Cricetulus griseus: one gene and its partners. The protein of the gene in region 6 interacts with the protein of the main gene of each other region in a pairwise test. Links are inferred from orthologs where the notes say so. Each region holds a gene or a part of one and is shown on either strand. Other genes may lie near its edges. The genes, in order: Nup54, Htt, Emilin1, Exoc7, Washc3, Ift20 and Disc1.

Region 1 (4,033 bases), on a different chromosome or scaffold from region 6:
TCAATCCTCCTGCCCATGTCTCCTGAATGCTGAGATCATAGGTATAACTCAGTCCCTGTGATATATATAGGCTTTCCCAGACAGGGTTTCTCTGTATTGCTTTGGAGCCTGTCCCGGAACTTGCTCTGTAGACCAGGATGACCTGGAACTCAACAGAGATCCGCCTGCCTCTGCCTCCCGACTGCTGGGATTAAAGGTATGCACCATTAACGCCAGGCGCAATATATATATTTGGTTTTTCGAGACAGGGTTTTTCTGTGTAGCTTTGGAGCCTATCCTGGTACTCTCTCTGGAGACCAGGCTGGCCTCGAACTCACAGAGATCCGCCTGTCTCTGCCTCCCGAGTGCTGGGATTAAAGGCGTGCGCCCCCAACGCCCGGCTTCGCAATAAATATTTTTAAAAGGAAAAGAAAAAAGAAAAAGAGCCAAGCATTGGTGGCACACACCAGGGCCGGAGAGATGGCTCAGAGGTTAGGAGCACTGTTCTTCCAGAGATCCTGAGTTTAATTCCCAGCAACCACATGATGGCTCACAACCATCTGCTGGCACGCAGGCCGAAGACTGTATACATAATAAATAAATAAATAAATAAATAAATAAATAAATAAGAATTGAGTCAAGAAAAATCTTGTTCCAAACTAGATTCCAGGATAAACCAGCGAAATGACTTTGGGAACGCTCCCATCTCACCTGTGCAAAGTAGTCAATTAGAATCTTCTCTGTGGGGTTGAGGATTAAGTGTTCCCGAGAAATGTGATGCAGGGCACAGACGTTAGCATTTAAAGGGCTCATTTGCTTCATCCGGGTCAGCCCTCCGTTTTGTTCAGCGACGACAGTGGTAAACTATGCAGAGACGAGTACTGGAGAGCGTGCCACACAGCACACACACGTGTCACTGCTAGCCCCATTATCTCTCCATCACTCCTAAACGCCCCTTTCCCAGCTGCTTCATCTCCTCCATCCTCATGTCCTACCGGAAGGCCCCCTGCTGGGTGGTCCGGGCGGCACGGTTACACCCTGAAGCACGCAATCTCCGCAGCCGCTCACCTCGCTAAGGTGGCTTCTAAGAGCCAGCTGGCAACCCTCCACACCTACTTCCCCCTGATCTCCCCTTTGTTGTGACGCCCCAAACCACTTGAAGCCACAACACACCCCCGGAAGTGAGCAGAACGGGGGGGGGGGCGTTCCCGTCCGGCCAGAGAGGAGGCGGAACTAATGATACAGCCCGCGTTTCCCGACCGGGCGGGAGAGCCGTGAGCACTGAGCGTCCGGGTGCGCCGCGGGAGCCCGGGAGCTCGGGACAACCTAAGCGCTGCTCCCGCGACATGGCTTTCAATTTTGGGGCTCCTTCGGGCACTTCTGGCACCTCTGCAGCTACCGCCGCACCCGCGGGTGAGTCAGCCCCTGGACCACCTTCTTCCGAGGAACGGAAGCCTTGGGCCCGCCCCCTCGGTCCGATACCGTCCGGCTGGGGGTCCGTGGTGGCCCTGGCACGCGAGACACCGTGAGGACATTTGGAAAGGGCGGGCGGCGAAGGTGGGAGGGCCGCGGGCTGCTCAGGCTGGGCCTGGGGCTCGCAGGGCGCGCGCATCCCGCGTGGCCGGGCCGCCGTGTCGCTTCCCGCCACCGGGGACTCCGCCCGGGAGGCTACGCCCCTCTTCCCTTCCTGGGGCCCCGCGACCCCTCGGCCGCCTCGGCCGCCTCGGCCTCCCGGCCCAGAGGGCCAAGGCTGGAGCCAGGCTACCCGCAGCGCCCTCCGTTCCCTCCCCAGCCTGGGGGATGCTGACCCCGGCCCCTGGTGCCCTTGCTCCTCTGTGTGTCCCCGCCTCCTTGGCTCTCTTAACCGGTTCCGGCGCCGCTCAGGTTTATTCACGCTGTGAAACCTCTTGCTGATTCTTGTTAATTCTTATCTTGCTTTCTTTTCCTTTTCTCTTCCCCTCCTCTCACGTTTTCAAATTTTCTCTGCCTCCACGTCTATCAGGATTTGGTGGGCTTGAGACTGCCAACTCCACCGCCAGTGGGTTTAATTTTGGGGGTTTCGGATTAACTGCTAACCCTGCAGTGAACTTTAATATTGGGAATTTCGGTGTTTCTACCACCTCGGCGACTCCATTCAATTTTGGTAACAGTCTGACGAGTGCAGGTAGATACTGCGGGTCATGTGTGTAACGAGGGTTGGGGGCTGGAGTCCAAGAATGTTCCGATGTTCCTAGAGTTTGAGGGAAAAAAATGGCACTTGTCTGCTAAGGGAAGGGTTCGTTTCCTGAGGTCAAATTGAGTGTATGTCAAGTTTTGACTTGTCTTAAAAGATGTGGTTTTTTTTGGACAGCCTTGAGAATTAAAATGCTCCTTTGTTGGGTTTGCATTTAATCATACGGAGTACAGCTTCAAAATGATAAGAATTTGCAATGGAGTTTATTTTGGATAGAATGTTTTTCAAATTATTAGCTGCGGTATAAGCTCAGCGTTTCCCTGGGATTCTTGGACTCCTGCAGTCGTTTTTCATTTTTTATACATATTCCATCGGGATTTCATCTTATTGTCCTTGTGTTTCCAAGAGAAACAAGTCTTATACGAACAGCGGTGACCTGTCTTGTTTTTCAATCTGTATAATGACGTTTTTCTTCCATCAACACGTTAGTATGTATTCCTGTAAGAGATGGAATCATAGAAAGAATCTCCAATTCTTTGCTGCCATTTTTTGGGAAAGTCTCTATGAGCAGTGTAATTTACGAGATGACATTGAGTTCTAAAACTCAAGCTAGACATCTCTGCATTTGAAAAGAATTACGAAGATTTTTTTTTAATCTACGGGTTTGAAGAATACTAAAAGATTTCAGAACACAAATATGATGGGTGTGTATGTCCCAATTTAAAGTAGGCTTATGAAAGCTCAGCATAAATGACCCTTGAAAAAATCGTGACCCTCAGCTGCTCGTATATGAATTTACTGTCCATAGTCTATGTTATGCCACTTCTGCCCATGCCAATTATTTGCATTTGGTAAACATCTCTTCCTGAACTTACTTGGAGAGCCAGATATTGTGTCAATTCAATGAGTTGAAAATAATGTGAAATACACTTGAAAATTTCAAAGATAAAGTGACTCATTAAGATACATTAGAAGTGTTTGCATATCACTGCCCTTGCTGTGTTTGCTTTTCCTATTTTGCTTAAAATTGGCACTGGGCAAACCTTATTTTGAAATTTATGTTTCAGAATAAAGCAAACCACATAGTTCAACAGCAACAAATAAACCTGTTTGTATTTGCTTGATTTCATGTCCGTTTGAAGTTGTCACTGTTAAAGTTTTGAGTTGTATGAATATAATTGTTTTGATTGCTTTCAAATATGTTAATTTAGCCTCAGCAAAGAGCTTTAAAACAACATTTTTTGTATCCATACTGGTCTACTATTACTAATAAAGCATTTTTGGTATTTTAAAATGTGGTAAGTTACTAACTAGTGTTTTTGTTGTGTGGTCAATAACAGTTACTCTTTGAATGCAGGGAGTTAAAAGGGAACTAAAGACAGTACTTATTTTAGGTGTTTCATCAAAATGTTTAACTGGCAGCATTGCAGTAGACTCCACTGAGTTACGTGTGTGCAATAGCCTATGCACTAATTTTCTAAATCTGAATTGTATTGTTAAGGGTCAGAGAGTGTAGCCTAATGATAGAGTATTTGCCTGCCTACTATATGCAAGGTCCTGGATTTAATACCCAGAACCACAAAATTGATTAAAACTAGTTAAATTTTTTTGAAACAGCTTTTTACTGTGTAGCCTAGGCTCATTTAGAAGTTCTAATCTTGCTTTAGCTCCTTTAATGGGATTGCAGGCACATACCATCACACCTGTTCTATGTTGCAATCTTTATGAGGCTATCCATTTACAAGAAATATATGAGGTTCAAGTTAGAATCTCAGAAAACCTGGAGTATAACTCAGCATTTATGGTTCAAATGTTTGTTTTCAAAGTCTTTTGCAGCATATTTATGAATAGGTAACTACTGCCATACTCTTTTTAAAAATT
Region 2 (4,142 bases), on a different chromosome or scaffold from region 6:
ACATGGAATTCTAAAGACTTTCTCTGCTGTCCTCAGTTTAACAGGGGTTGGCTGCTTATACCTCCCATGGGTAGTGTTGGCTCCTGTGTACTTGGCCATTTTGAGAAGATGGAGGAGTTTCTCATGGCCATGGAATAGGGCTCTTGAGTCTTAGGGGTAGCCTGAAGAGCTTAAATGGGTTCCTAACTAAATGCATCACCTCCAGTCAGATCTCTCTGAAGCCAACACCTTTTGCTGGACAGGCTGAAGGAGCTGGGTGTATCCATACTATTCTAAGCTTCCTGTTTAATTGCTCACCAGTGGGAGATGGAGATTCTGGAGACAAGGACCTCAGCTCTGGTGGCGATGAGGCCCCTTGTAGGTTCTGGCTGATGACCAGAGCAGTGCCATGGTCCAGCACTGTGAAGTTGAAGTGTCCGATCAGAGTTGCACTAACCCCAGCCTCTCTTTGGGCTGCAGGCACTGCTACTTGTTTGGAACCCTTTATCAGCTTCCTCCACAGCACATCGTCTGGTGCCGCCTTTTTTTTTTTTTTTTTTTTTTTTTTTTTTTTTATAGGCTTTCATGTCTGAGCTAACCAGTGCTTCAGGGGTCCACGGATCACAAGGGTTCTTTGGTCCTGCATAAAGGTCACTCTGGTTCCCTTCTCATTTCAGGGAGCCCTTAGCATACTGCATTCGGGACTGTATAGCAGGCCATCTGTCAGCTTGCGGACAATGAGTGCCTCTCTGGGTTTCGGGTTCTGAGCACCACCACCGCCATGGGTGGCTTTCTGCAGGGAAATTTCTTTGCTGCCCTTCCCCTTTCCAACCTCTTAGTCTTCCATGTCTCCCCAAACCCTACTGAGTTGCCAACTCCTCCGCCCGCCTCTTTTTTCTGTCCTGTAACTCCTAATCTAGTGCTCGGCCACTCCCCTCAAACCCACTCTTGGTTCAGCTCCGCCCCTCATCTAGCAACCCGCCCCGCCTACCTCATCACGCTCTCTCCCCGCTCCCTCCAATCAGAGGCTTGGTTTGCCGGAGAGGGGCGGGGTCATATCGTAGGGGCGGAGATTCTTAGCAAGTTGGCAGAGGCCCGGCATGCTTACAACCAGGCATTGGGAAAAATGACGCTTCGGCCTGTCAAATCTGCGGATCCGGCGTGGCCTCTCTTCCGTCGGCATGACGTCACAGGACGCAGGCGCCGCGGGGGTTGCCGGGACGGGCCCAAGATGGCTGGGCGCTTTGGTTCCGCTTCTGCCCGCCGCGCAGATCCCCATTCATTTCCCCGCTGCTAAGTGGCGCCGCTGAGGGCGACTAGGCTCCAAGCCTTCGGGGTCTGTCCCGCCGGGCAGGAGGCCGTCATGGCAACCCTGGAAAAGCTGATGAAGGCTTTCGAGTCGCTCAAGTCGTTTCAGCAGCAGCAGCAGCAACAGCAGCAGCAGCAGCAGCAGCAGCAACAGCAACAGCAGCAGCAGCAGCAGCCGCCACCACCACCACCGCCGCCGCCTCAGCCCCCTCAGCCGCCGCCTCAGGGTCAGGCGCCACCGCTTGCACCGCCCCCACCGCCGCTGCCCGGTCCGGCCGAGGAGCCGCTGCACCGACCGTGAGTCCGGGCGCCGCAGCTCCTGCCCTGGGCCGCTCCCCTGGCCTGCGTGCTGGAGACAGCCAGCGCGATTCCCTGCCCAGAGAGAGGGTCGCCAGTCCTCTTCCTGGCCCGGGTCCTCGCCTTGTGGGGGTCTTTAGCTTTCCTCACTGGAGGCAGAGCCTGGTCAGGCCTGCGGCGGACTCGCCGAGGGGCGTCTCGCCCCCAGTGCTTTCGCCCTTCTTAGCTTGTGAAGTTAGGGAGCGAACTTGTTTCTGTCTTCGGGAGAAACTGGGGCTGTGGCTCACATGACTCCAAGAGAACTTGGAGAGGGCGAGACCTGTCTCCCGGGTCGCCTCCTTAGGTAGGCCTAGATGCTGGGAGCGCAGGACAGCGCGAGTGATGTGCGGATAGTGGATGACATAATGCTTTTAGGAGGCCTCAGCGGGAGTGCTGAGGGTGGGGGAATGTGAACCATCCAAATTGGATATTCTTTTTCCAAGTGACACTTGAAGCAGCCTGTGACTTCAGGCGCTTTATATTCTCCTGGTGTTTCGTTTAGTTCATGTTACAGTGTAGTAACAAGGTTTTAAGCATCACTGGAGAGGTATGTTTCTGTATGCTCCTATTGGCCTGCAGGTAATTGGATGAACTGTGGTTGTCAAGTACATGATGAGTTACTTAGGTGTGATTATTAATAAAAATTATATGTCTCTGTGTCATATATATATATATGTGTGTGTGTGTGTGTGTGTGTGTGTGTGTGTGTGTATGTATGTATGTCGATTGATATTTATTGCCTATATTTTCTGCTGGAAATAAAATGGACATGTTGGTGATGCGCAGTTTACATCAGGGAATGATTTTTATCAGTGTTACAGTCAGACTTGTTTTTAGAACATGGGCCACTCTGTGTGCCAGTGAAAAAAATTCCTATTTAATTCTTTGCTGACATCTTGTCATCCTTCAGAAGCTTGCTGCATGTGACTGGTGAGAATATTTGAAACAGAAGAGAGACCATGAATAACAATAGTCTTAAAAAAGAAAATGATGATCAAGACATTTCCTGGAAGTCCACGATGAGTGTTCAGCCCTGTACTTTCTTGCAGTTCAGGCCTTTCAACTGGACATTTTATTTCTAATGTGGATTTCTATAATTAATAAGGAGAACTTTCAGGAAACAACCTACTGAAGAATCCCATTATTAATCCTCATTTAGGAAAAAAATTGTTTTGTTGCTGGGAATTTAGCTTAAGGCCTCACACATGCTGGGCAAGTGCTTTACCACTGAGCTATATTCCCAGCCTATTTTTAGTAATTTTTCTTGTTCTTGTGCTTCTGATAGGATCCTTTTTGCTGCCCTGGGAATCTAGTTTTTTGTTGTTGTTTTTTTTTAAATGAAGATTTGGGGAAAAATGTTGGCTTATTTGATAGAATAAAATATAGGAATAAATTTTTCTTCTATAAGGTCAAAGAGGGTTTGAGTAGAAAAATCTTTCCCTTTAGATAAGTAATATATTTTGAGACAGTCTCACTGTGTAACTCTGGCTGACCTGGAACTCACAGATATCTATCCTCCTGCCCCTGTCTCTTCAGTGCTGGGATTAAAGGCATGTGCCACCATGCCTGGCTGTATAAGTATTTTCTAATTATTAGATTCTTAACACGACTCTGTCTCTCTGGGTGTTAGGAATTGTGCAAGTTCACATATTCCTCATATCTTCTGTAAGGGAGGGTTGGGGCGGGGTGGGGTAGGGTGATTTCTCTCCAGCTGCTTCAAGCACAAATTCAATCTGTTTTTGCATAAGTAATTCATTAACATGGTCCAGTTCCAAAGTTAGGAAAGGTTAAATAGTAAAACATCTCCCTCCCCATTCTCCTGAGTGCCTAACTCTGTCCGCAGTAGCAAGCACTGTTACTCATTATGTGTCCTTTCAGATAAAATCTGGGCATATGTTAGGACAGATTTTTAAATTATTTATAGACAAAAGTAGTTTGGAACGAAAGCTTTTAAAAGTTTTAAAACCTTGTTAGTTCACTGTATAGCAAGAACTAACTGGAATATTTCCCATAATCAGCTGCATTAGGCTTGTATTTATTTTAACTAAAAGCATATATCTCCTGTTTCTGTATACTTTGCTGTTGGAAAAACAGGTGTTCATTAATGATAAGTAACAAACATACTGATTGGAAGCTTCAATTTTGGCATTTTTGTCCACTTGCTTCAGTTAAAAGCCCCCCCCTTCTTTTCCTCCAAATTGAGACCAGCCAAAACAATTTTAGAATAAATCTGTTCTATTTTTATGGCTCTCATTGTGTTACAGAGAACTAGTGTCACAGCCGTGCGTGGGCTTCTGTTGAAATAGCTGAGAGCTCCTTTCTCTGATCAGTGTATAGGATGCAGGAGCTCTTTGGGACTGGCTGTGGGGGGTCTGATGGGCCTTAAGCAGTTGACATTCACTTTTAACCTTTTTCACTCTTCAGATTCCTACCTCATTTTTCCTGATTGTAGTCATTCATTTACCAATATTTGCTGATCATCTCCTGTTTGCCTAGCATTATTCTAGCTGCGGATTTTA
Region 3 (4,237 bases), about 78 Mb from region 6:
GGATTACCACAAGTTCCAGTGTTTAAAAAAAAAAAAAAAAAGAGTGAACATATACTAAGTTCTGGGCACTATTCTGAAATGTTTTAATTGTATTAATCCTCACAAGCCTAAGATGGATGAGGTTATATTATCCCTGTGTTTGAGGAAGAAACTGAGGCGGATCATGTTCCCTGAGCCTGAATTCTCTGCCTGTCCCTTGTCTTGTCCTTCACTCCTCCCTCCTTTCCTCCACACACTGTTCAAGCTCTGCCTTTTCCAGCAGCTTTTCCTCCTACCCCCAGCAGCCAGCTGTCTCTCCCCTCCTCTTAGCCAGAACACACATCATCACTTTGTCCTGGCCTCTTGGCAATTGGTCTGTCCTGCCTCTGTGGCTGTCTGTCTGGGGGCCCTGTTCCTTTCTCCAAAACCCAAGTTGTTCCTTAATGGACAGTGACAGACTTTTAGGCTTGCCTTTGCAACCCCGGCACCTCTCCAGTGCCTGGCACACAGCAGCCTCTTGTTGCTGTTGTCTGTCTGGTACTGCAGCTTCCCCCTTCTCGTCCCCTGGGAGTGGCAGGTCCAGAAAAGAGGCAGCAGTCAGCTCACCAAGAGCTTTCTGTAGGTAACAGAGAGGTTGACTGACCTCCAAACCAGAGAGCAACCAAGTCTTACCTCTACCATCACTGTAATCATCCCTCCTGGTTATAGGGTTATAGCCTGACCTTTACCAATGGCAGTCATTGTACAAGAAAAGACGGCTCTTTGTTTTCTGATTCATTCCTCTTCTCTTCTCTTCTCTCTCTCTCTCCTCTCTCCTCTCTCTCTCTCTCTCTCTCTCTCTCTCTCTCTCTCTCTCTCTCTTTCTCTCAGGTTTCCCATGTCTCCATGGAGTTCTTTCCCCTCACACCCCCCACCTCCTTTTTTTTTTTTCCTGAGTCACTAGAGTCGCCTAAAGTCTAATCTCAGCCGTGTTATTGACTTGCTGTGTCACCTTGGACAATGAACTGCTTTCTCATTGTGAGCCTCTAAAAAGAGGCAGAAGGACCCAAGGGTGATGAGGTCCTGCTGAGCCCCCCACGTGTGCTACTCCCTGCCTTCCTCCTGTCCTCAGGGTACCTCTCTCTTCTTCTCTCAAGGGTCCTGTTCTCACTGACCCAGGGGAGCTGGGACTCTGGCGCTGGTTCTGGTCCTAGACACCAGCTCTGGGCCTCCTATCCAGATTTGGCCCCAGCTCCATGTGGCCTGTCTGAGAGGTTGGCCTCAAGCCCGGCGGCAACTCCACATTTCTCTGTTTTTCCTTTTTTTTTTTTTTTTTTTTTTTTTTGCCCCCCTCTTTCCCGGAGTTAACAAGAAGCAGATGTGGCGCACGATGGTTGGAGAGGTGGGGGAGGAAGAGGGAGGCTGGACCGCCAGCCAGACAGGGGGAAGGGAGGAGAGAGAGGGGAGGGGAGGGAGGAGGCTGGCCCGCCCATGGTCACTTTTGTGCCTCTTAACAGCCACAGGGGCAAAGCTCTGTCATCCTTAGGATCAGTCACCAGGGAACAGAACAGGGAGACGAGAAGAGGGCCAGCTGGAGCCAGGGGGTGGAGGCTCAGGAAACTGCCTCTGAGAGGGGCAGGGACCAGGCACAGGAGGCCAGGGGCCCAGAGAACAGACTCCCCTCAGAAGTGCAGAAGAGGAGAGCGGAAGGAACTGAGGGAGGGACAGACAGGAGCCTGAGGAGGAAAGAGGAGGGGGATAGAAGGGTCAGGCCTAGCAGCCAAGGAGGAGGCGTGTGGCTTGGGGGCTGCAGGCAGGAAGCTAGGACTGAACTGGCTTAGCGGGCTGTCCCCTGAAGCAGCGGCATCCCGTGGAGGCGCGGGTCTAGGCACCAGTGGTCAAGTCGGGATGTGTCTCTAAGGGCGGCAAGGAACACCTCACCATGGCCCCCAGTACCCTCTGGAGCTGCTATCTCTGCTATCTGCTGACCGTAGCCACGAAAGCTGCCAGCTACCCTCCTCGAGGTTACAGCCTCTACACAGGGGGCAGTTCGGCCCTCAGCCCCGGGGGACCCCAGACCCAGAACTCTCCACGGCCTGCCAGCCGCCACAGGTAAGAAAGACTCTGTGTTCCCAGCCAGGGCTGGAGACTGTGATCAGGAAAGTCCTCAGAAGTTGGCAACCGGCTATACCTCTAATGCAATGAGGAGGAGCATGAAGACTCCCACTCATCAATGGCCCTCACATATGGCCTTTCTCTGGGGCTTTGGTGGCCTAAGGGGGATCAGCTTACACCCCTCTTCCCTATGAAGACTTGCAGTTGGGTGCCCAGGGAAACTGCACTGAGGGGCATGGACCAGACCTTCTTGCCAGCTGTGTGCCAGCCAGCTCTGGATCAGGCAGTCCTTTTGTCCTTCTCTAGGGCTTCCTCAGTCCCATCTGCTAATGTATAACTCCTCCTGCGCTGCTCCCTCTGGCTCCACAGCAGCCCACAGATGAGAAGCCAGTGTGAATGGGGCCAAGAATACAGCACCGCAAACCCCAGGGGCACAGACTCTGTCGGTGGCTTATTCTCTACTTAACCATAGGCCTGACATCTGCCTGCCCCTGCTCTCCTCCTTGAGGGGTGGGTGGAAGCACCATGTGCAGAGGATTATTTCCAGTATCCCAGTTGTTTGGGGGCTTGAGACAAGCCCAAGGAAGGGCAAGAGGGCCCGTGATTTCCCTGGGTGCCTAGGACCCCACAGTCATGAGGACTGACTTCTCTGTGTGTTTTTGTCATCACACCCTCCCTGTCTTGAAAAGCTTTTATCTATGGTGACACAAGAAGTGGATTGGGGGCTACCCTCTCAAACCCCTCACTTTCACTGTCCTCAAGGCCCCTTCATCTTTTGACCTTCCTTCAGCCTCTGGGCCCACCAGGGCTTGTGTCTTTGGTCCTTTGGCCCAGGTAGGGTTGTGCCTACAGGAACTGGTGTGCCTACGTGGTGACTCGGACAGTGAGCTGCGTCCTTGAGGATGGAGTGGAGACCTTTGTCAAGCCAGACTATCAACCCTGTGGCTGGGGCCAGTCCCAGTGTCCCCGAAGTATCATGTGAGCCCCCCAACACTAAGGGATTGGGTCCTCAGTGTGAGCTGGGCAAGGACAGACAACTGGTAGCTACTCAGGGTCTCTTTACAAATCAGGGGCAGGGGGCAGGACAAACCAATCAGACTGTTTTGAGAAGGTATTAGGGTCCTGGCTCAGCTGGCGAGCTGCTACAAATGTACCTCCCTTGTCTGCAACCTTCAGGCCTTCTGTTGGACAGGTTGTCCTCATAGCAATGAACTCTGATTCTAGCACAGGGAAAGGGGAGGAAGAGCCCAGATTTAACTAAAAAGCTGATAGCTGTCAAGTGAGCAAGGCCACACACATACTGGCTAGAGAGTGAGAACAACCTGAAGAACAAGGTGACTGACAGAACCAGAACCGAGAAAATACAAAGCTTTCCTTTCCTCTGGCCAGGTACCGGAGCTTCCTTCGCCCTCGCTACAGAGTGGCCTACAAGACAGTAACAGACATGGAGTGGCGGTGCTGTCAGGGGTATGGGGGCGATGACTGTGGAGAGGGTCCTGCTTCTGCTCAGGGCCCTGCACCCTCCACACCACACCCCCGGCCCAGGCCTGTGCGCCCCAATCTGTCTGGCTCCAGTGCAGGCAGCCACCTCAGTGGATTAGGGGGAGAAGGTGAGTCCACAAGTTACTAGGGTTGTAACTTGTTACAAGTTACTGGGGTGGTAAATGTGGGGCCTGACTGTGGAGGGAAACCTCTGTGCTCTAAATTAGGAGGCAGACAGAAAGGAAGTAATGACGAGTCTGAGATTCTGAATGTGTTTATGCTTTCATGGTCTGAATGTGTGTGGTGGGGGGGATAGTGGGGGACAGGAGTGAGGGTAGATTGATTGAAAGACCTGAAAACCTAGAGCCGAGTAAGAAGACATAGAGAGGATTTACTCACATACGCCCTCTCGCGGCCAAGGTCCTTCCTAGTAGGAAAGGCTGTGGGAGAAGTGGGGAATTCCTTTGAGAAACTCTGTCTGTCCTCATTGAAGATGGTTAAGACTACAAATCCTAGCATGCATTGCACCTGACTACAGGTCCCACACCCCATTCTGGCCCCTGGAGACTGCAGACCTCCCTAATGCAATAGTCCCTGTTGCATTTTCTTTCCTCTTGTGTGTATGTGCTAGGCTAGGCACACCGGATGCCCGCTCTTTTCCTGCCAAAGAGATAACTGAACT
Region 4 (3,500 bases), about 37 Mb from region 6:
ACATCTCCCAGATTGAGGACCACAATGACTGCCTCCATAAAATGACACTGCCACCTGCCCAGTCCAGACTGTCCTCTTCCAAACACAATCCAGAATCCTCATGCTTGGGGTCAGATAACTACCCAGGGAGTTGGTTTAGGAATTTTCCTTCCTTCTAGCTTTTTCCCACCACCTCTAGTGTTTGATCTGGGGCCATAAACACGGCCTATGCCGAGTGGAAAGTGATACCAGGAGAACGTTTGGACGTGGCGCCTGCTCTCCCAGGCCTGCCAGAGCAGCTCTTGGGGCATCCTGTCACAATAGCCTGCTCTTTCCATTCACTGCTGGTCTGGGCTCAGCCCAGGAGCTGGAGAAACTCAGACCCCAGCAGAGTGAGTGGCATCTCCCAGACCGGCCACTCAGGGGCACTGCTGTCCCCCTAGGGAGAGATGACATGCTGGATGTGGAAACGGATGCCTACATTCACTGTGTCAGCGCCTTTGTCAAGCTGGCCCAGAGTGAATACCACCTGCTGACTCTCATCATCCCGGAGCTCCACCAGAAGAGAACCTTTGACTCCTTGATTCAGGTCTCACCCTGCCCACCCTGCAGCTCCGAGCACTGACCCATTCTGCAGTGACTTACTGCAGAATCTGGAGGGCGTGGTAGGCCTGTTGCCCTAAGCCCTGGATTCTTTGGTGTAGTCCATGACCCCTCCCCCACCCTTCACAGCTTGTTAGCTCCCCTGCACACCCACAGGGTGCCCCGCTGTTCCTAGGGACCAGCTGTGCTCTGCCCCTGCCTGAGCAGGGTCCTTGTCCTTCCCCCAGGATGCCCTGGACGGACTGATGCTTGAGGGGGAGAACATTGTGTCTGCTGCCAGGAAAGCCATCATCCGCCACGACTTCTCCACAGTGCTCACGGTCTTCCCCATCCTGCGGCACCTCAAGCAGACCAAGCCTGAGTTTGATCAGGTGCTCCAGGTGTGTGGGCCTTTCTTCTCCCCCCCCCCCCCGCCCCCGCTCCCCTGTACTCGGTTCTGGGGAGCTCTGTTCCAGGCCCTCCTCCCACCTGTCCTCTGAGGTGACTCCTGGGAGGCTGTGGACAGCTTAAGATGCTCACAGGGAAAGAGAAGAGCGTAGTTAATCCTGAGCTGGAGAATGCAGCCTCTGGAGTGAGGGTGAAGGACCTAGAAGAAGTTAGACTCACAGCTTGCTGGAGGGAGTAGTGAGCCTGACTCTGAATAAATATGTCAGTTGCCATGTCCTTCCTCAGGGCACAGCAGCCAGCACCAAGAACAAGCTGCCCGGCCTCATCACCTCCATGGAGACCGTTGGAGCCAAAGCACTAGAAGACTTTGCCGACAACATTAAGGTACCTGCAACCCCTTTCTCTTTCACCAGGCCTGGCTTGCTCATTGAGCTCCTGGGACTCCTCAGAGAGCAGGCCTTCAAGAGAGTCAGGTTTGCTCTGTAGAAAAGCCGCACACACCTCCCTCCCACCCCCCACCCCACCCCCCACTGCTGGTTTGCAGGGGAGACCCTCTGGGCACCTCTGTTTCTTTTGTGGGCCCCAAGCCCTGAGACTGAGGGACAGCCTAACACCCATGACCAGGAGGTGGCGCCATAGGCAGGCTAACTGGGACTCAGGCTGGGGGAACTCCCTATCCAGGAACCAGCGGCTGTTCTTTTTCTTCCCACAGAATGACCCAGACAAAGAGTACAACATGCCTAAGGACGGCACAGTTCACGAGCTCACAAGCAACGTAGGTGCCGCCCAAACACTGCAGAGGTGGGACAGAGAGCACCCAGCTCAGGCCCTGGGGGCAACACCACTAGTGGGAACCCAGCCTGCCCAGAGCTCCTGGGCTTCATTTGTGGTAAAGGGTTAGTTTCAGTAGTGCAGGCAGCCAGAGCCCAAGGTAACACCTGAAATCTCCAGTTGCTCTTGTCGCTATAAAGACCGCTGCCGCAGACTTGCCCTGCTGGTTGGAAAGGCTCTGTGTGGGAAGCCATTTCCTTGGGCGACCCCCAACCCTCTTGGATGTGTTCTCTCTCCCAGGCCATCCTTTTCCTACAGCAGCTTCTGGACTTCCAGGAGACAGCGGGTGCCATGCTGGCCTCCCAAGGTACATGACCCCTGTGCTGGGGGCTGCTTTGGGGGTATAGAGTTAGGCCCCTAGTAGGCACTTACTTGCTGTAGGTGCGGGCAGGGTGTGATGAGGGGTTTCCCCAAGCCCATGGAATAGGACTAAGACATGGCCTGTGGGGAAGTCTAAGCCCATGGATTTCTGGAGAATCAGCATAAGGAGTTGTGGGTTTGTTGGCATTCTTAGGAACCCCACCCGTTGCTTGCTCCTTTGGCTGTCAGTGCTCTGGGGTGGGCACTGCAGGGCTCAGGTCTCATCCTGTCCCTCCACACTGCCACTCTTCTCCACTCCCTCCTGTTGTCTGCCTATTCTGTTGCTCCACCTCCTCGCTGCCCCCTGGTGGGACTGGAGCTGGGATGCTGGCATGTAAAGAGAGCTTGGGTCATTCCAAGAACTGAGGTCCTGGGGCCCTCCATTTGTTTTTATTTGGTGGGCAAGAAGCCAAGGAGCTCCCAGTTCTCTTGGGCTGCACTTTCCAGTGTGTTTCTGGTCTTGAGTTAGTTTGGTTTGGTGTGTGCTGCTGTCTGTGTCTGGCTGCCATGGGGGAAAGGTCTGCTTGGCTTGGGGTGACACAGCCATTTCTAACCTGTTTTTTGCACTTTGCATCTTTCTTCCTCCTCTGTTTCCCTCCTCCCCCTCTGTGTGCACTGCCTGTCACTCCGTAGTTCTCGGGGACACATACAATATTCCTTTAGACCCCCGAGGTAAGCAGTGTGGTCCCCCAGCCCCATCCTCCCCTCCAAAGCCCTGTGGTTGAGGTTCCCAGGGTACTAGTTCTCAGGACCCACTGGGGGCAGGGTATGAGTTTTTTAAGGGGCCCTCATCGCCCCCCCCCCATTCCCTTCAGCTCCCTTCTGTCTCTAAGCCTATCCAGGCACCACCTAACCAGAACCCAAGAACACCCCCTGGCTAGCCTAACCCCCTCCCTTTGGCCTTCTGTTCTATATCAGAGCTCTCTGCTGGGGGTGGGGGGTTCAGAGTTGTGAGGAGAAACTGGGAAGACTAGGTGACCCTATCTAGAAATCCTTGCTGTTGACAAATAAGTAAAAGGGATCTAATAGATACCACCCATCTTACAGTAGGGACCAGGCTGGGAAGGTTGGGAAGGCATCGGTAGCCCACACCTCTCCTTCCTGCCTGCCTGCTGTTAAGGGCTGGCTCCTTAACCCATTACTATAGAAGACAGCCCCGGGATCCAGAAAGAGTCCACAGTGCTTCCAGTAGCTCAGCAGGTGCCCGTCTTTGCTTGAGCTCTTGCTTCAGTCCTGCCTGCCCCACCAAGCCCAGGGCCTGTCCCAACACTTCCTCCTCTGTCCCTGGGATATGGGAAGGGCCATCAAGGGTCTTGGCCATTGCCACCATAGTAACAGCA
Region 5 (3,926 bases), on a different chromosome or scaffold from region 6:
TTTTTTGTTTTTGTTTTTGTTTTTGTTTTTGTTTTATTAGTTCTAGTTAGGGAAGAAGCTTATTTCAAGTCCCTTCTCCCTCTCCCTCCCCCACCCCCAAACCTCCTCCCCCAGCCCACCCCCCACCCCCATCCACCCACCACTCCCCAGGCAGGGTAGGGCCCTCAACGGGGGCTCTGCAAAGTCCACCAAGTCTTCCTATGGAGCAGGCCTTTTAAGAAGCATTCCCAACCAGCGGCCCATGAATCCCATTTAGAAAAACATGGCTCTTATTCTGGTATAAAAGGTCCTTCATCAGCTCTTTGTGTCTATTTCCGTCTTATTTCTCATTATTCCCTATCTCTGCTAATACCACCAAACAGCTTTCCCTTTGCCCTCCATACTATACTCCTCATTCCAGATTGTCGTGTTTTGTTGCTGTTGGTGTTTTGTTTGTTTTTTGAGATAAGGGTTTCTCTGTAGCTTTGGAGCCTGTCCTGGAACTTGCGCTGTAGACCAGGCTGGCTTCGAACTCACAGAGCCTCCCGAGTGCTGGAACTAAAGGCGTGCACCACCAGTGCCTGGCTCCAGATTGTCATTTGGGGGTGGGGATGGGGGTGAATTTCAAAACAGGGTTTCTCTGTAGCTTTGGAGGCTGTCTTGGAGCTCAGTCAGTAGACCAGGCTGGCCTCAAACTCACAGAGCTCCACCTGCTTCTGCCTCCAGAGTGTTGGTATTAAAGGCATGCGCCACCACAGCCCGGTCAGATTGTCATCTTAGCTCTTCTTAAAGTTAAGTAGCTACTAAAGCTGGTTTCCTCTTCTTTGCTTGGACAACTTAGAAGCGCCTATCGTCTACAGCACCACAGTGCTTTGAGTCCATGTGGGTGCATGTACCCATGGAGACACAAGGGTTTGTATATGTTAATTTACAGTGCCACAACTTTCACCTAAATTTTGCACATCAAGATTCTGCATGTCTTCACTATTCTTTGGAGGCAGAGGTCCCCCCCACCCCTAAAATAGCATCAGCTCTTCAGCAGTGATTCTCAGGCCCGCTTTACAATCAGCTCCTTGAACTACCAATCCCAGAATGCTGAGCGAGAGTGAAGGGGCGGACTCTCTGAAGCCACTGATTGATTGGTGGGCTCGGGATCTTTCTTCCGGAAAGGCCCCGGAGGCAGGAACTTGGGAAGGGGAGTCGGGGTTTTCTACCGGGCTGTGAGGGGCTTGTGCCTGAGCCCCGGTGTCCCCATCTGCTGTGGAGATGGATGAGGATGGGCTTCCTCTTATGGGGTCAGGCATAGACCTGACCAAGGTTTGTAAAAGATGACTTAAGCTTCCGGCGAACAGGGAAGTAGCTTGGCCAAGGGGCCCCGGTTCCCCGGGAGACACCACCTCTCCAGGCCCAACCCGGGCCCCTTTTTGCTAGCCTAGGGAAGGGGGAGCCCCGCAGTCCACTTTCGAAGGGTTCCCTCCTGAGCTAATTAAAGAGTTGATGTGCCTCGCAGCCTTCGCTCCCCACATCATGTGACTCTGAGCCAAGGCTGACAGTCTGGAAATAGTGCCACTTCTAACACTACCTCTCTGATCCTCAATCTCTCTCTCTCTCTCTCTCTCTCTCTCTCTCTCTCTCTCTCTCTCTCTCTGCCCTCCTCCCTCCTCCCTCCCTCTCTCCCTCCTCTCTCTCTCTCTCTCTCTCTCTCTCTCTCTCTCTCTCTCTCTCTCTCTCTCTCCCTCCCTCCGTCTCCCCCTCCTCCTCTCCCTCTCTGTCTCTCTCCTCTCTCCCTCTCTCCTCTCTCCTCCTCCCTTGCTCCCTCCCTTGTGTGTGTGTGTGTGTGTGTGTGTGTGTGTGTGTGTGTGTGTGTGTGTGTGTAGCACACTCTCAAACTTTTGCAGCCCCTGTCACTTTGACACACACACGGTTCAGGAAAACAAGTCAGGGACTGTTCTCAGCCCTCCATGAAATTCATGTCACAGGGCAAAATCATAGTCTTTACGAAACAGATATCGAGAGGATTGCACAGTGTATGTCTCTCCTGTAAGAATCATATTTGCTTGTTTTTATGTAACACAGGTGCCAGCTATTCAACAGAAAAGGACCGTGGCCTTTCTAAACCAGTTTGTGGTGCACACGGTGCAGTTTCTCAACCGGTTTTCCACAGTTTGTGAGGAGGTAGGTCCAGGTCCTGTGCTACTACTAGTTTATGGAGTAGTTGAGAAGTCATCTTCCACCTTTCAGGTTAACAGAGCGAAGCAAAAATTACAGCTTTCATTTATTCACATTGCCAAGACCTTCTCCAATTGTGTTAAGACACCTTGGCGTCTCTTCTATTCTGTTACCATCAGTCCTGTATCCCTCAACTGAATTCATATTCTAGGCGTTTCTGTGAGCTCAATAAAGTTTTTTATAATTATGAGAAACACACACAAATAATTTCACAGTTGAATTTTTTATTTTAAAGTTTTTCATTTTCCTACTCCAGAGTTTTATATTTTAAGTATATGTTTGTGTTTATATTAAATTACTTTGCATTCTTTGAGCCAAAGTGGTTCAGGGAGGAAGCCTAGAAATACATTTTTTTAAAAAAAAAATACCCTTCTGCAAATGTCTGGATAACCTGTGCAGTAAAAATTAAACACATAATTAAGAATTAGGTGCCAGGTTCAGGACCCCCGCCTGATCTTTGAGAAAGGTTTTTATTTGGTTTGGTTTGGGTTTTTTTTTTTTTTTTTTTTTTTTTTTTTTTTTGGATGAGGAGGAAAATGGAGAATATATATTGAAACTGAATTTAAGAAAGGAAATAGAAGAGATTTCTAGATTAGTCCCAGCTGAATCAATGCAATGTTATCTTATATTGTCTTATACAAGGCAAACCCTTAACAAAGTTAGATATGTAACTGTTAATCAGGATTGCTTGCAGATAGGAGACTTGTCATTTGTGTAAAATTCGAGCTGTTTATAAAGTTGTGGATTCTGAGTAAGGTCTTGAATGGGGTAGGCATGCACTCTGCCTCTGAGTAACATTGATAGTCCCAACTGTTGTTTTTATTTCTTCATCACAATGTCTTTAGCGTTTCCTCCAAATGTAATCACTAATGATATAGTGAGGAGTCTCTCTCTCTCTCTCTCTCTCTCTCTCTCTCTCTCTCTCTCTCTCTCATTTGTTTTGGTCTTTTCAGAAATTTAAGATTTACTTTTATTTTATGTGTGTGAGGGTCTCACATGTTTGTCTGTCCACTACATGCATGTCTGATGCCTACATGGGTCAGAAGAGGGCATGAGATCCCCTAGAACTGTTGCTATGGACAGTTATGAGCCACCATGTGGATGCTGGCCGTCAATTCTGGTTCCTTTGCAAGTATGAGTGTTCTCAGCTGCCAAGCCATGTTTTCAATCTGGTCTCTCTTATACCGTTGCTTCTCTAAATAGAAGCACTGGTAGAACAACTAACCACTAAACTGAACTGGAATCCAGACGCAGAGAAGGACAAGTGAAGAGCAAAGGGGTCCAGACCAGGATGGTGAAACTCACAGAAACAGCTGACCTGAACATCAGGGAACTCTTGGTCCCCAGACTGATAGCTAGGATACCAGCATGGGACTGCTCCAGACCCCAGGAACATGGGTTTCAGTGAAGAAACCTCGGAAATCTACGGGACCTGCTGTAGTAGTTCAGTACTTATCGCTAGCATAGGTGTGGACTTTGGGAGCCCATTCCACATAGAGGAATACTCCCTGAGCCAAGACACACAGGGGTGGGTTTAGGCCCTATCCCAAAGGGTATGATAGACTCTGACGACACCCTATGGAAGGCATCACCATCCAGGGGGAGCAAAAAAGATATGTGATAGGTAGAGTTTTAGTTGGGGGGGGTAGAAGGGGAGAATGAGAGGGAGAAGGGAACTGGGATTGCCATGTAAAACAATCTTGTTTCTAATTCAAATA
Region 6 (3,275 bases):
CTTGTGCTGCCATGGAGCTCCGAATTTAGTCTCAAACAATACAGTGGACTAGGGGAGAGGGAGCTATTTTTAGATGAACAACCTTAAAATTGATGATGGAAGAATTATTAATTGGAGGTGGGAAATGGAATTATATATTCTGATTTTATTTCTTGGTAGAATAGTCTTGGTGGCAGGATCTGTGTTACTTGGATTTAGAGGTGGTAACTAAGGTCTCCAGGAGCAGCTCAGCACAGTGGTGACCTTTGGGCTACAAATCTCCAGGAGGCCTTCTTTCCTAGCTGCTAAGACAGCCCAGTGCCAGTGGAAAAGGCCAAATTAAGCTCAAGCATGCCAGGCGGTGGTGGTGCCCGCCTTTAATCCCAGCTCTAGGGAGGCAAAGGCAGGTGGATCTCTGTGAGTTTGAGACCAGCTTGGTCTACAAGAGATAGTTCCAGGACAGACTCCAAAGCCACTGAGAAACCCTGTCTCAACAACAACAAAAAACAAAACAAATTAAGTTGGAGCAAGGGAATTTTCTTTCCCTTTTTTTGAGGGTCTCACTATGTATGTTGTATGTTGGCTTCAAACTCATGATTCCAACTTAGCCTTCCTAGTGCTGGGGCTCCAGCTTGTGTCGCACACTCAGCTGAAGCAAGAGATTTCTGGGCCATGGTTTCATGACAGGTTGCTTGGTGTCTGTTTCCAGTTTAGTGGTTGGTGTATGCTGTGGCCTGCTTCTCTGGCCTTATTTTCATAAAATAAAACAGGGCTCCAACATATCAAGAGTACTGGAAAAAGTGAATGGGAAATGGGGCACCTAAATGATTGATTTGAGCTTTCTACCAGCTAGGTTGCAGGCAGGGATTTTCACACCACCTTTTATTGAAAGCCCTGGAGCTTATGCTCAGAGTCTAGCTCTGTAATGGTCCCTCTTTTCTAGGTGAGACCAGTGGTGGGAGGCTTAGGTTCATATGTACCAGGCTGCTGTAACACAGATTAGAAAGGGCAGTTAGTTCTGCCCTCCCTACTTCAAAGGAATGCTAATAAGAATGTTTTGTTCTTTTCCTTGAAGAAATTGGCCAGTTTCAGAAAATAGTTGGTGGTCTAATTGAGCTTGTTGATCAGCTTGCGAAAGAAGCAGAGAATGAGAAGATGAAGGTAAGATCAGCTGTTGGTCTTTGCCAGGAAACCAGGCCTTGTCTTTATTGTAGGGATGGTAGCCTCATTTATTTAACACGGGAATTTAATAACAGATGCTGGCCTAGTTAACATGGTGAGCTTATATGCCAGTGGTTTTTTTTTTTTTTTTTAAAGATTCATTTCATGTGAATGAATGCTTGTCTGCATGAATGTCTGTGCACATACTTGTGTGTGTCTAGAGGCCAGAAGGTTTCAGATCCTCTGGAACTAGAATTAGAAATATTTGGGTGTGACTTGCTGTTGAGGGCTGGTAATTGAACCTAGGTCCTCTGGAAACACAGCTAGTGCTTTTAATGACTCAGTCATCTCTCCAGTCCTTAGATATCTAGATTGATTTACGTGTATGACTGTTTTGCCTACGTGTGTGTGTGTGTGTGTGTGTGTGTGTGTGTGCGCGTGCGTGCGTGCGTGCGTGCGTGCGTGCGTGCGTGTGTGTGCGCGCGCGCGCCGGGTGTCCGTGCCCTTGGAGGTCAGAGAGGGTATTGGATTCCCTGGAACTGAAGTTATAGATACTGTTTAACCACCATGTGGGTGCCTGCAGAACTGAACTTGGCTCCTCTCCAAGAGCAACCAGTGCTCTTAACCACTGAGTCCTCTCTTCAGTCCACACTTGCCCTTCTTTTGATCTTCATGGTAGTACTAGTGGGTGTTTACCCTCCTTTTATAAACAAAGACATGAAAGATTGCCAGGTACAGATGACTTGGTAAAAGGCATAAGTGATGCCCCACCCCCACCCCCCACTCCCCAGTAGGCCACTACATACACTTGCAGGCCAGAGGACTTCCTTCTGTTATTTTTCACCAGGCACTTTGGGATCAGTGGGTTAATAGTCCTAACCATTAAAACCATGGGGCTCCTTTCTCTCTTCCCTTCCCTAGTGGCCTTTCCCTCTTTGAGTTTAAAACCATGCCTTCTTTGGCAATGCTGTTTCTTAGGCCATCGGTGCTCGGAACTTGCTCAAATCCATAGCAAAGCAGAGAGAAGCCCAACAGCAGCAACTGCAAGCGCTAATAGCAGAAAAGAAAATGCAGTTAGAAAGGTAAGCAGCCACATCAAGCCAGTGCTCAACTGCAGATTCTCATTTTCCTTCTGGATCACCTTGTCTTTCTAAATCATTCCCCAGGTAGAGCATCTCACTGGGTATCCTGAAGCTTTTTAAAAATTACATTTGATATGAAGAAAGTAGGGATTAATTGATTAATTCCAGATGACCTCCCATAGTTTGAGCACTGGTTCCTGTAACAAGGGCTGAGGCCACCTCCGTACCTTCCCTGGGAATGGAGGTTTCTCCTGGATGGCTCTGAGTAGGGCTTTGCTCATTTTATTCTTGCCCTGACTTCGTTCTCAGCTCACTATTTCTTACAACTGTTTAAAGCTCTATACTCTCAAAGAATTGTCCTGTTTTTATTTCATTCTTTTTAGGGCTTCTAACAATTTTGTTTTTCAGGTATCGAGTTGAATATGAAGCTTTGTGTAAAGTAGAAGCAGAACAAAATGAATTTATTGACCAATTTATTTTTCAGAAATGAACTGAAATTTTCATTATTTATAGCAGGAAGGCAAAAAAAAAAAAAAAAAAAAAAAAAAAAAAAGATTCCCAAACAAACAAAATAACCCTTTGTACTATTCCAGTGACTGACTGATGACCAAGTATGTAATGTCAGTGTAAGGAGGCAGTATTCCCATCTGGGGTACCTCTGGGGCAACTGGTAAACAGTGTCTGGCCACTGCTAGTGGCAGGGCAGAGCAGGGCCTCACCTCTTGCATTCTCAGCACAAACTAAACAGCCTGTAAAATTTGACCCATTTTTTTTTTCCCCTCAAAAAGCTCTCAATGAAAAGCAATAAATACCCTTTGCAAATGGTGTGTTCTTTCTTCTTTGGTGCTGTGTACATTACCAGCTCCTCTGAAAATTCAAGTGTTGTAACCCCCATCCACACAACAAACCAGGCAGAGATCAGCAGCTACCTTTATTTGGACCATACACACAAGTCAGACAGTAATAACCAGAGCAATATGGCTTGCAAGCAAAAACACCCACCAACCTTGTTTCTATAAGGAGAGCCAGTGGAACAGCAGACACCCTGGGACA
Region 7 (3,500 bases), on a different chromosome or scaffold from region 6:
TTGCACTTGACTGATGCCAGAAAGCACCTGGAGTCTGAAGCTGGCTTCCATTGATGGTGTCGAGTTTGTGAGTGACAACAGCTGCCATGTTGATCTAGCCAGGTGTGGTGATGAGTCCCAGAACTCAAGAGGTGGAAACAGGAGGACAGACAGCCACAGTGAGGCTAGCTGAAACTAAAGAGTCTCCCCAAACAGTCAGCCAGAAATCACAGAATGAGGATCCCCACAGGTAGGGAGCACAGTGGCCCAGCAGAGTCCTAAGCCCTGACTGCACATCCCTGCCCATCCACAAGCACTCCTTTCCCACATGTGTAAGTGTGTCTTCCATGTGTCTCCAAAATGAGATTGAAACCCCTTAAGAGCAACAACTTAGAGGGCAGAAACAGGAGGATCCCTAGTTCAAGGCTAGCCTGAGATATACAGAGAACTAGAAGCCAGCCTGAGGTACATAGTGAGACCCTGTCTTTAAAAAAATTAAATACAACCTAGCAGATGTGTATATGTGTATTTCACAAGCTCTCTGCAGTGTAAAACATAGGAAAGACCCCTTCGTGATAGATGAGACACCACATTTGAGAAAGCAGGAATAGCAGTCTATCTGTTTTTCTCTCCTATTAACACTTTGGGCAGATTATCAATTTTTTAAATTATTAACCTTCTTAAACTACTTTTCACTGTCTGTAAAACAGACAGCATAATTGATGTGACCCACAAAGTAGCTCTGCCCAGGACCAGGCATTTGACATTGCTTAGCCAGCAACAGCAGCAACACAAGCTCATTCATCCCAGTGACCTGATAAAAAAATACTGCTTATGTTGCCCTCTTGGTTTATTTGTTCATTTGTTTGGAGTTTTTGTTTGGTTTGGTTTGGTTTGGGAGTTTTTAATTTGGTTGGTTGGTTGGCTGGTTGGTTGGGTTTTTTGTTTTGGTTTTTTGGGTGTGTGTGTGTGTGTGTGTGTGTGTGTGTGTGTGTGTGTGTGTGCGCGTGCAGAGGGAGGGTCATATATCTTCCTCAATCACATTCTGTCTCATCTTTGTAATATAGGGTCACTGAACCTGGAGCTCATTAATTCAGCTAAACTGGCTAGCCAGCAAGCCTTAGGGATCCTGAGTCTGCATTCTCAGAAATGGGGTTACACTGCACCCAGATTTCTATGTGGGTTCTGGGGATCCAAGATCAGGTCCTTGCGCTCATGCAGTAAATACTTTTGTAACTGAAAATCTCCCCAGCCAGCTCAGACTCTTCCGATGCCACAGCCTACCCCCCAAGTCACACTCTTCCAACGCCATGCCCTACCCCCCAAGTCACACTCTTCCAATGCCATGCCCTTTCCCCCAAGTCACACTCTTCCAATGCCATGCCCTTTCCCCCAAGTCACACTCTTTCAATGTCACATCCCATCCCCCAGGTCACATTCTTCCAATGCCATGCCCTATGCCCCAAGTCACACCCTTCTGATGTCACACCCTACCTCTTAGAAGTGAAATCTCTTTCCAGATAATTGTCTTCAGCAAAAGCCAATGTCAAAATCTCTATCCAACTGACCCCAAATTTGGGAGGGAAGGGGAAAGGAGAGACAAGCCAGCCCCTTGGAATTTTGGAAACTGCCTATTGGAGAGGGGACAGTGCTGGCAGCTAGGGATTGGGTGGACTGGATGCCAAATAACTCCCAGTGCTCAGAACTGACCCCGCAGTGAAGAATCTTACATCTCAACACCACCAGCACTTCCACTAAGCAAACAAACCACCTGAGAAGCACCTGTGAACAATGAATGGGCAGCAAAGCCATCTCAATAAACAGGTGAAAGAGGGAACGCTGGAAAATCAGTTAGAAAATCACCAATACCTCCTAAGGGTTTCAGGTGGCTCCACACAGAAAGGAGCCTGGCTGGCAGAGGTCAATGTCTCTCCCAAGGCCTTGCTGACTTCCTGCAGCTGTCCTGGGGACAGCTGGGCCACCAGTGGCATCAGATCACAGCCCTGCCACTGGAGCAGTGTCTCCTGATCCTCCAACTCTTGGCTCAGCTGTTGTTCTTTTGCCTCCAGCGCAGACATCCTTGATTGGAGAGCTTCGATTTCCTTCTGCAGAGAATGGGGGAACAGATTTCATCCATTAACCCTGCTCTGCTACTAATGAATCGGTTAAATGAGAGCAGGCCATATGCACCACAATCTCGGAGCCCACCCCACTCTTCCGAGGCAGGCCAATTCCAGAAGTCTGCTGAACTGGGAAAATCATGCCAGTTTTATGTTTCTGATGAGTTGGCAGGAAGAAAAACATCCTCTCCTTCCCAAGCATTAAATACGGACAAGCGCTAGCCAAGGTTTTGACTTGAGAGAACCCAGCAAATGATGTATCACTGGCTTCGCTTCTGATGGGGAAGCAAAGGCACTAGCCACTCACACCAAACACTGAGACACCAGCTGTGGGCCAGGAGGGGAAAGGGCAGCCTGCTCCCAAACACAAGAACTTAGGATGTACAAAAACACAAGAACCTTGGCTTGTCGGGTCAATAGGATTGGGAGAACAAGATTTGTCGAGCCAGAGTCTAGTGTCCTTCAGACTGTTGGACCAATTTACTTCCCAGGATTGGTGAGAGAACTCCATCAGTCAAGTGCTTGCCATGCAAGCATGAAGAGCTAGTTCTGATACCCAGAACCCATGCAAAAGCTGGGGACCCACAGAATGAATCTGCAAACCCAGCATAGGGTAAGGGGAGGTAGAAGACAGGAGGATGCCAGGGACTTGCTAGCCAGCCTGTCTAGCCCAATCAGTAAAGTGTAGATTCAGTGAGAAACCCTGTGTCAAAAAAATAATAATAATAAGGTAAAGGGATATTGGAGTAAATATCAAATATCAACTTCTGTCCTCCACATACATGTGCACATACATGCACCTGTGCCCACATTCAAACTCAAACACACACACACACACACACACACACACACACACACACACACACACACACACACACACAATTTGCCCTAATTTATTAAGCTGGAATCTAAGTTAATCCATAACCATCATCTGTCTCCAGGCCAAGAAATAAACAAGCAGCAGGTAATTGAACACAGTGTGAGCTCAGCACTGGGCAGATAGCCATCTCACTGCGTAGGAGTCTGAATATAACACCAGGCTCTACTAACGGACACACCCCCTGTTCCCTCACTGTTCCTAGCTGATAAGAGTACAGCTTAATTCCTGATATCTCCCTATCTCCAGGATGTTCTCTCCACCCACAGTGCAGATTCTCCACAGCTTCTACCTCCTGCACCCACCCAGAGAAGAGAGAGGGCTGAGCTAGCCCACAGTCTCAGTGTGCTCAACAGAAACTCAAAACTAACCACTCTGTGAAACCCACACTCTTTGTTGCTCTCATTTTTGTTTTGTTTTGTTTTGGTTTGGTTTTGGTTTTGTTTCTCAGAGTCAACATCTCACTCAGTAACTAGCCCAGAACTCATCTTATAGCCCAGGCTTGAACCTATAGCAATAAAGCC

The links.
Region 1: the proteins of Ift20 (region 6) and Nup54 interact in binary tests that used the Homo sapiens proteins (3 or more experiments, as listed by UniProt). The two-hybrid records come from large-scale screens. The link is inferred for Cricetulus griseus from reciprocal best matches to the Homo sapiens genes IFT20 and NUP54.
Region 2: the proteins of Ift20 (region 6) and Htt interact in binary tests that used the Homo sapiens proteins (3 or more experiments, as listed by UniProt). The link is inferred for Cricetulus griseus from reciprocal best matches to the Homo sapiens genes IFT20 and HTT.
Region 3: the proteins of Ift20 (region 6) and Emilin1 interact in binary tests that used the Homo sapiens proteins (3 or more experiments, as listed by UniProt). The two-hybrid records come from large-scale screens. The link is inferred for Cricetulus griseus from reciprocal best matches to the Homo sapiens genes IFT20 and EMILIN1.
Region 4: the proteins of Ift20 (region 6) and Exoc7 interact in binary tests that used the Homo sapiens proteins (3 or more experiments, as listed by UniProt). The two-hybrid records come from large-scale screens. The link is inferred for Cricetulus griseus from reciprocal best matches to the Homo sapiens genes IFT20 and EXOC7.
Region 5: the proteins of Ift20 (region 6) and Washc3 interact in binary tests that used the Homo sapiens proteins (3 or more experiments, as listed by UniProt). The two-hybrid records come from large-scale screens. The link is inferred for Cricetulus griseus from reciprocal best matches to the Homo sapiens genes IFT20 and WASHC3.
Region 7: the proteins of Ift20 (region 6) and Disc1 interact in binary tests that used the Homo sapiens proteins (3 or more experiments, as listed by UniProt). The link is inferred for Cricetulus griseus from reciprocal best matches to the Homo sapiens genes IFT20 and DISC1.

Annotation. Positions count from the first base shown.
Region 1 is NW_023276807.1:157,236,986-157,241,018, reverse strand, and holds the start of Nup54 (nucleoporin p54), read left to right. Parts: upstream 1-1,233; 5' UTR 1,234-1,325; coding exon 1,326-1,392; intron 1,393-1,981; coding exon 1,982-2,143; intron 2,144-4,033. UniProt on the Homo sapiens protein: Component of the nuclear pore complex, a complex required for the trafficking across the nuclear membrane.
Region 2 is NW_023276807.1:103,746,839-103,750,980, forward strand, and holds the start of Htt (huntingtin), read left to right. Parts: upstream 1-1,342; coding exon 1,343-1,584; intron 1,585-4,142.
Region 3 is NC_048600.1:13,459,272-13,463,508, reverse strand, and holds the start of Emilin1 (EMILIN-1), read left to right. Parts: upstream 1-1,437; 5' UTR 1,438-1,900; coding exon 1,901-2,070; intron 2,071-2,907; exon of another isoform or gene 2,908-2,925; coding exon 2,926-3,051; intron 3,052-3,462; coding exon 3,463-3,683; intron 3,684-4,237. UniProt on the Homo sapiens protein: Involved in elastic and collagen fibers formation. It is required for EFEMP2 deposition into the extracellular matrix, and collagen network assembly and cross-linking via protein-lysine 6-oxidase/LOX activity.
Region 4 is NC_048600.1:128,883,115-128,886,614, reverse strand, and holds part of Exoc7 (exocyst complex component 7), read left to right. Parts: intron 1-422; coding exon 423-568; intron 569-809; coding exon 810-962; intron 963-1,254; coding exon 1,255-1,353; intron 1,354-1,681; coding exon 1,682-1,744; intron 1,745-2,040; coding exon 2,041-2,107; intron 2,108-3,500. UniProt on the Homo sapiens protein: Component of the exocyst complex involved in the docking of exocytic vesicles with fusion sites on the plasma membrane.
Region 5 is NW_023276806.1:154,207,198-154,211,123, forward strand, and holds the start of Washc3 (WASH complex subunit 3), read left to right. Parts: upstream 1-1,126; 5' UTR 1,127-1,245; coding exon 1,246-1,296; intron 1,297-2,055; coding exon 2,056-2,154; intron 2,155-3,926. UniProt on the Homo sapiens protein: Acts as a component of the WASH core complex that functions as a nucleation-promoting factor (NPF) at the surface of endosomes, where it recruits and activates the Arp2/3 complex to induce actin polymerization, playing a key role in the fission of tubules that serve as transport intermediates during endosome sorting.
Region 6 is NC_048600.1:91,930,950-91,934,224, forward strand, and holds the end of Ift20 (intraflagellar transport protein 20 homolog), read left to right. Parts: intron 1-1,054; coding exon 1,055-1,140; intron 1,141-2,118; coding exon 2,119-2,222; intron 2,223-2,630; coding exon 2,631-2,712; 3' UTR 2,713-2,775; downstream 2,776-3,275. UniProt on the Homo sapiens protein: Part of intraflagellar transport (IFT) particles involved in ciliary process assembly. May play a role in the trafficking of ciliary membrane proteins from the Golgi complex to the cilium.
Region 7 is NC_048596.1:201,882,762-201,886,261, reverse strand, and holds part of Disc1 (disrupted in schizophrenia 1 protein), read right to left. Parts: intron 2,085-3,500; coding exon 1,849-2,084; intron 1-1,848. UniProt on the Homo sapiens protein: Involved in the regulation of multiple aspects of embryonic and adult neurogenesis. Required for neural progenitor proliferation in the ventrical/subventrical zone during embryonic brain development and in the adult dentate gyrus of the hippocampus.